Linked DNA regions of Tribolium castaneum. The protein of the gene in region 2 interacts with the protein of the main gene of each other region in a biochemical or structural test. Links are inferred from orthologs where the notes say so. Each region holds a gene or a part of one and is shown on either strand. Other genes may lie near its edges.

The links.
Region 1: the proteins of bai (region 2) and zetaCOP form a complex in vitro, tested with the Homo sapiens proteins (2 studies listed by BioGRID, with this or other methods). The link is inferred for Tribolium castaneum from reciprocal best matches to the Homo sapiens genes TMED10 and COPZ1.

What each region holds. Positions count from the first base shown.
Region 1 is NC_087396.1:16,251,413-16,255,079, reverse strand, and holds zetaCOP (coatomer subunit zeta-1), read right to left. Parts: upstream 2,250-3,667; 5' UTR 2,104-2,249; coding exon 2,086-2,103; intron 2,038-2,085; coding exon 1,792-2,037; intron 1,741-1,791; coding exon 1,607-1,740; intron 1,077-1,606; coding exon 986-1,076; intron 901-985; exon of another isoform or gene 869-900; coding exon 821-868; 3' UTR 790-820; downstream 1-789. Other genes in the region: Galphaf (guanine nucleotide-binding protein G(f) subunit alpha), read left to right, coding at 1-44, 90-789; zinc transporter foi, read right to left, coding at 3,113-3,333, 3,386-3,667. UniProt on the Homo sapiens protein: The coatomer is a cytosolic protein complex that binds to dilysine motifs and reversibly associates with Golgi non-clathrin-coated vesicles, which further mediate biosynthetic protein transport from the ER, via the Golgi up to the trans Golgi network.
Region 2 is NC_087396.1:9,937,753-9,941,289, forward strand, and holds bai (transmembrane emp24 domain-containing protein bai), read right to left. Parts: upstream 2,072-3,537; 5' UTR 1,962-2,071; intron 1,903-1,961; 5' UTR 1,877-1,902; coding exon 1,700-1,876; intron 1,642-1,699; coding exon 1,521-1,641; intron 1,471-1,520; coding exon 1,400-1,470; intron 1,342-1,399; coding exon 1,215-1,341; intron 1,069-1,214; coding exon 947-1,068; 3' UTR 811-946; downstream 1-810. UniProt on the Homo sapiens protein: Cargo receptor involved in protein vesicular trafficking and quality control in the endoplasmic reticulum (ER) and Golgi.

The DNA.
Region 1 (3,667 bases), about 6.3 Mb from region 2:
TTCGAGCGCTCAAACGAATACCAGTTAATAGACAGCGCCCAACAGTAAGTGTTTAGGTGAAAAGAAACGGTTTCTTAAATAAATAACAGTTTCTTAGACCGTATTGACGAAATTAGGAAGCCGGACTACATCCCCTCAACTCAAGACATTCTGTTTTGCCGAATTCGCACCACTTCCATTTCGGAGATTGAGTTCAGCGTCCCAGTCCCTAAAACATACGGGGGCGGAAGCGCCAATTTCCTCATGTACGATGTAGGGGGCCAGCGAGGGGAACGCCGCAAATGGATACAAGTTTTCGACGGAATTGACGCAATTTTATTCATAATCGCAGCGAGTGACTTCGATCAAACACTACGAGAAGATGAATCGAAAAATCGGCTTGAGGAAGCTTTGTCCGTTTTCAGAGACATGTGTGGAAGCCGGTTTTTACGAAAGGCTGGAATGATTGTTTTTCTCAACAAACAGGACCTCTTCCAGAGGAAAATAGAGCACGGGAGAAAATTGGAAAAGTACTTCCCCGAGTACAAAAATTTTAATAAAACTCTGGGTTCTGCGGTGGATAATGCGAAAGCCTTCCTCGAGGAGAAGATAACACAAATGTCGAAAATACAAGTAACAGTGAAAAATTATAATCCAATTACAAAAACAGTAACTGAGGAGAAGCTGCCCCCTAGGGATATTTATATCCACCACACTATCGCTACAGACACTCAGAATGTTAAAAAAGTGTTTGATAGTGTCCACGAAATGATAATTAAGGAAAGTGTAAAAAACATTGCTAGTTACTAATACAAATTTATTACAAGTTTACACAAATACTTTACTTAAGCAAAGACCACTTGAGTTGCTCTTTGGCCGACTGTATTACCTATAAATAAACGTATTTGTTATTACATATTACATATTTATAATTAATTTTTCCTCATACACTTAGCATAACATGACAAAAGCTTCACCAAAAAATTGAATGGACTGCATTAGTTACCTGAGCTACAGTTTGCTCTCCCAAGGGAATATCGTCGTTCCTGAGAGCCACTCGCGACACAACTGAATTTGAATCAGCGTCAATAATAATACTGAAATACAAAAATATGTAAATAACTTACATTGTAAAGGTTAAAAAAAATTACATAATGAAGAAAGTATCCCCTCACCTACAGCAGGTACACCCTATATTTTGTGCATTTTTGCATATACTACATAGTTGTTAATTAGTACATTAAGCTAAGTTTTTGAAATAATTTGTGGAAACAAAACATCTTTTATTAATAATTAGAAAAAAAACTACATCATAAAACACAACAGGCAATATTAATTTACAGACATACATTTGTTTAAGGCTTAATTTCTGGTACGATTAAACTTTTAGCTGAATTTGGAATGGTCGATGTGTATTGTATAAACTCTAGCTATACTGGAAGTTAAGAAGTTTCTAATGTATGCCTTAATAGAATCACCCTCTGGATTACGGTTATTTGTTGTCAGAGCAAAATGAATTAGTAAAACAAAAATGCAACAATAAAACAGATGGAGCCACATTGGGGTACGTTCCCAGGAACAGCCAGTGAAGGGAAACTTCTTCATTAATCCAATATGTGTAACTCACCCCCCATCACAAATTTCATCCATAGCCAACATGACTATATCAAGTGAGTCCAAAACGGCCCTCTTTTCGACGTTTTTGCGCAAAATCTGACTAACAGAGTCATAGAGACAGTTTAAAACGCTCATTAGAATTAACTGAAACGATTTATAATTAACAAAAAATAAATAAAGTACTGAAAAACTTACTTCATTTTCGTGCGAACTACCCATAACATAAAAAAATAAATCAACATTGCTGCGATAAACACAAGTTAGACCATCTAACATGATTATTTCAGCGTTAGCTCTGTGTGTCTTATTGAAGAGATTTTTCTCAAAGGCTCTCTGTTCCTTAGCCGTGGGAAAAACGTTTTTATCGTAATATTTAGCCAAAATACGGTTGCCGTCATTGTCGAGGATTGCAATTCCTTTAACCATGTACAACGTAGGCTCCTGTAAAAACGGGTACTGTGGGCCCCCACAAATAAAACTCGCACATACCAACAGTGTTCCTTCCATTTTTCTCGACTTGTGGCAATTAATTAACGTAACAAATTGTAGCTTATTTCATTAAATTGCAAAATACTGGCAAAATCAGGCTTATTTTGATTTTTGTACGTGTCTAAAATTTGACAATTGACAGAAGATGGGAATTTGGTTTGTGATGTTGGTATTTGTCTGTCATTTGTCAAGTGAAAATTTGAAAATTGTTATTTTGATCATTTTGATTTTAAAATACGACAAAATGGACCAAACAATATGTCCCACAACGCAGCAAAACATTTTCCTGTTTGAGTCATACAGCCGTAACACCCAGTGGCAGGAAAATGAAGGATGGCTGTATAATGAGTCCGTTGCAGAAAAGTGTATTCAGGAATTTAGAAATGAGTTTCCTGGGGCCACTTTTAGCGATGACATGTTACGAGAATACGTGCCCCAATTGGTTGATCGGCTTCGAGCAACTGGTAGTATTAGAGAACCGGAATTACCCAACTTGGAAATTTTTCTAACCCCCGAAAAAGTACAACAAATTAGAGCTGTCCTCGAAAAGGACCCAAACATGCCCCCGAGGAAATTGTCTAAGGTCGTAGGTATGGAAAACATTCCGTGTTTACAATTTGAGACTAATTTGTTTAATTACCAGGCCTACCTGCGGCGACTTGTAAAGCGGTCATGAAAAAACTGAAAAAATAAAAGTATAATTAGTTTTGTAAGGTAATCAATAATTATCTAAAGTTTAAGTTTAACTAATAATGTAGTAACTGTTTTCTTTTCTACGTTTATAATTTTGTTGGAAGAAATAAAATCCTGTTCATATTTAAATAAATTTTATTGTTTTGCGTACCAATACTGGTCATTACATGTGGGTTTACATAATATAGGTAAGTCTTAATCAATACTAATACCTAAGTAGCAGCACAAGGAAGAAGGGGGATGATTGTAAAAAAAACAAGTCTTTGCAGTAAACACGCAGTATCAAAAACCAGATAAAATAAAAAACAGCCAATAGAAACGAATTATAAAGTCATTATTCCCTAAACATATTCTTAAGATCATGTTCAAACAACGCAATCAGCGTCATAATCCCAAACCCTAATAACAGCCCACTCAAATGCAATATGCACTGAATCAAATTCCCTTCATCTTCATGTGCCGAGCTCAACTCTGGTATCATATCCACCAGCGCAATATAAATAAACGTTCCAGCCGCCACTGCGAACACCCAAGAACTGGCAACTTCCGTATTCCCTAAAATTCCAAATATTGAAATAAAAAAAAAACAATATACCACCAAACTAACCTAAATAAACTCCCAGCAAATTCCCCAACACGCACAAGATGCTTGAAATAATGTTATAAAACAGCGCCTGTTTGATACTCATGCCGGCCTTGAGCAGCATGGCGAAGTCGCCCACCTCATGGGGCAACTCGTGGCAGAAGACAGCCACGGCGGTGGAAAACCCCCCAGCGGCACTCCCCGAAAACGCAGCCCCTATCGCCATACCATCAGTGAAGTTGTGGAGACCATCACCCATAATCACCATCCATGCAACCGACGAGAAGTTCTGGGGGGCGGCATGGA
Region 2 (3,537 bases):
AGACTTTCGCTTACTATACTTAAGTTTAGTTAGGAGCACGTGATATGTACGTGTTGAATTTGACGAGAGCTCTTTTGCTTAATTAAAACAAACTGTTGATTACGAAGGCTTAATTTGGCTGCATGTTTGAGTAGTAACTATCTTTCTGTCTCCCTTTGGAACTTGCCATCACACTAGGGAAAAAGACCTCGGCAGTCCCAGTGAGTGCAATGGCCCAACTACAAAACATGCCAATTCAAAAGAGAGCCTAGCTTTTCCCCCGGGGCTTGGGGAGAGATGTATACCCAAGGTTAGGGAATGGAGAGCACGCGGTGGTCGGAACCTCTGGGAGTCCCTCTTGCAACCGTCTTTCTAGAATCACCGGGTTGGGTCCGAGTAATCAACTTTGCATTCAAATTTCCCGCTCAGTTCTCCGAGATTCAACACTCGATTAGCTGGTTGCCTAGGTATAGTGTTTAACTTGTTGTCTATACTCACTTCTGAATTGTATAACGTGTTGCATACTATCACCAATGACTGTAAATTTAGTGAATAAACATTTTGGGTCGAACTCTTTGCGTTTTCCTTTCCCAGACACACAGTGCTTGAAATAACGAATCTCCAAATCTACACGACAACGTAGCGGTCCTCCAAACAATCTCTAGACGATCACCTCAAAACTAAATATTTTGACAAGGCCAGACCCCCGAACGGTTACACAATTGATCTCAATACATTTTTTTCACACAATTTATCATAGTCACCCTGTATTTTTTTGCTTTTTTTATAAATTGGGAGTCAATTTGGTAAATGTTCGTTATTAAAACTCGCTTTCCAAACACATCGTATCTATTTCAGGAGAATAATTTAGGTACAAAAATTAGTCCAGTAATGTACAAACTTGAGAAAGTTATCTTTAAATAGTACAACAAAACAAAATAAGCTGTGGCATTGATGTTTGGCGCAACTATTCGATTAATTTTTTTGCTTTGAAGTATCTCCTTAAGTAGAGAACTTGCCAAGTGGCCAATCCCAACAGACAACACATTGAAAATACTGAGAAGTACAATACCCTACTGTTTGTTGATTCTGCAAAAAAAAACGGTTGTAACAATCTGTTAAAGTTCTGATCAAAGTGGCTCGTGACAAAAAAGTGTTAAATGTTACACTGTCAGTGTTGCCAATTTAATTTCAAAGTCACGGGCCACTGTGTCAGAAACTGAAGAACTACTCACCATTAGTATCTCTCATTTCTTCCTCCCTCTTCCTCATAAGAGCAAAGTCTTGGACAATTTCATTTGACAAATCTTCTAATCGTTTTAATTCCTTCTCTATAGGTTTTAGTTGTGCAGCTTCACCTAACTAAAAAATTTGTTTCATTAGTTAAAATTATTATTTTAAAACGCTTGTCGTGACATACCACTTCATAATTTTTCGTTTCAACTCCGTGTTTTGTTACTAGAGACACATCTTGTCCAATACCTCTCACATCTAGCAAAAAACACATCAAACTTTTCTAAACACAAAAATTGTTTACTTACTTTGAGAAACGCGAGAAATGAAACAAATCTCATATGTGTCGTAACTTTCCGTGTTGAAAGTGAGTTTGCCTTTGGTAATGTCCTCTCTTTGATATAAAATATGTCCCTTCGAGTCCCTAACCTAAAAATAGAATAGCAGAAATTCAAAATTGTTAAAATTGGGATACAATTCAACTTACAACACAGTCAACTTTCTGACCCATTGCTTCAGAGACTTCAAACTCCCCAATAACTGGTACATTTCCTTGCAGTTCTTCTTTTAAACATTTTTGTGTGTTGGGTTTCAATGTCCACATAATACACTCCACGTTGACGAAATAAATACAAAGTAAACACAAATTAAACCTGAAGTTCATCCTTAAGTCTGCTTCTTAACAGATTTCTTAAATAATACATAAATTACTATTTTTTATTATTAAAACAAGTGCTGTTTGCAGATACCGATGAGGTGGCTGACAGCGAATACGTCAAACACGTGGAGGCGAATGTTTATGATACTTACTGTTGAGATTGTCTAACGAACACAAGATCTACAAATGCAGCTCATTCAAATCATTTAACTGCCTTAAAGCTAATTATTATTTAAGGGGACGACAGAGTTAAACCAAGTGTGCGACAAAAACAAGTAGTAATGATATTTATTTTTCTATTTTTAGCGATATTTGTAATCCAATTTTAAATCAAAAAATGAAATTGAGTCTTTTAAATAATTATTAGCATTTGAAACAACGTAATACTTTTTTGAAAAAAAAATTATTTAATAATTTTTTATTAAAATTTTAAACAAATATTTATAATATTTTAAAAAAACGTGTACGGGAAAGATGCACTGCGATGAATACCAACAGGGTGCGTCCAAGAAACAAATAAAATTTTTAGTAGTTTTGAACGAAACGTGAATATTTATTTTACTTTGACAAAATTTGCCAACAAAAATCTCCAACAGTCAAGTGCGGGGTAAGAGGAAGAGAGGGCAAAATAACCCTCGATCAACTAAAGACAGGAAGATGTGAAACACGATGTTTCTGTATACTTGTATTATTCGTATTATTCATACACAGAATTATCCTATTAATCTTTTAAACTGAATTTAGTAATGTATTAAACATCAGTGTTTTTTTTCTTCTTGTAGTAGTGTTTATTTGTTAGTAATTTTTATGTGTTCCTTGCTCAAAAACGGATAAATGATCAAAAAGTTTAGAATACGACAAAATCTGTTTTTCACTTTGAAAAACAATAGGTTTAAATTTTAATTTATTTTTGGTAAAAACATTTTCTTGTCATGATGTCATGAAGTTTTCTGATGATAGAGATTGAGAAAGTCCAGCAAGAAGCAAATAATGTCAAATAACCTTGATTTCCAATTTTTCTGGAATTAAATTCTTTGAAATACCTAAGATTTTCTCGGGATATGTTGAAACTGTATAAGTTGAGTGTAAGTGATAAGCCCAAGTATAACCTGCTTCCCATTCTAAGAAAAAGCTGAAAGGAATCGGACAAGTCGGCAAAACAAAAATTGTGGCATATCATTTGAAAATTTTGAGTTATGGGTGTTTGAAGTTCAGCAATCTTAATCTTAATAATTTGAGGTTTAATATTTTTTTTAGAAATCTGAAAACACCAAAGAAAAGATCTAAAACTTCTCTTTCAAATAAGCCAAAAAGTATTTCAAAATTTTTAAAAACAGTAGGGTTATCGTTTTTTGATTGAAATCAACGATGCAAATCCAAAAATTTAAAAAAAACCTAAATATTTCGAAAACTACTAAATTTAGGTCTAAGGAAAGCTGATAAAAACCCTAAAACTAAGTAATCCAAAAATACATAACTTTCCATTTAAAATATGAGTTGATAGCGACTTCTGGTATAACCGGAAGTGCCACCATCTCGAAAATATTTTCTTTAATAAGCACCTAACGTATTGTCGCTGTATACAACTTTTCAGATGATTATCAGTATTAAAACTCCCAATATTTAATGTGGGGTTTAAACGGAACATCCTGTATAACTCGATCATA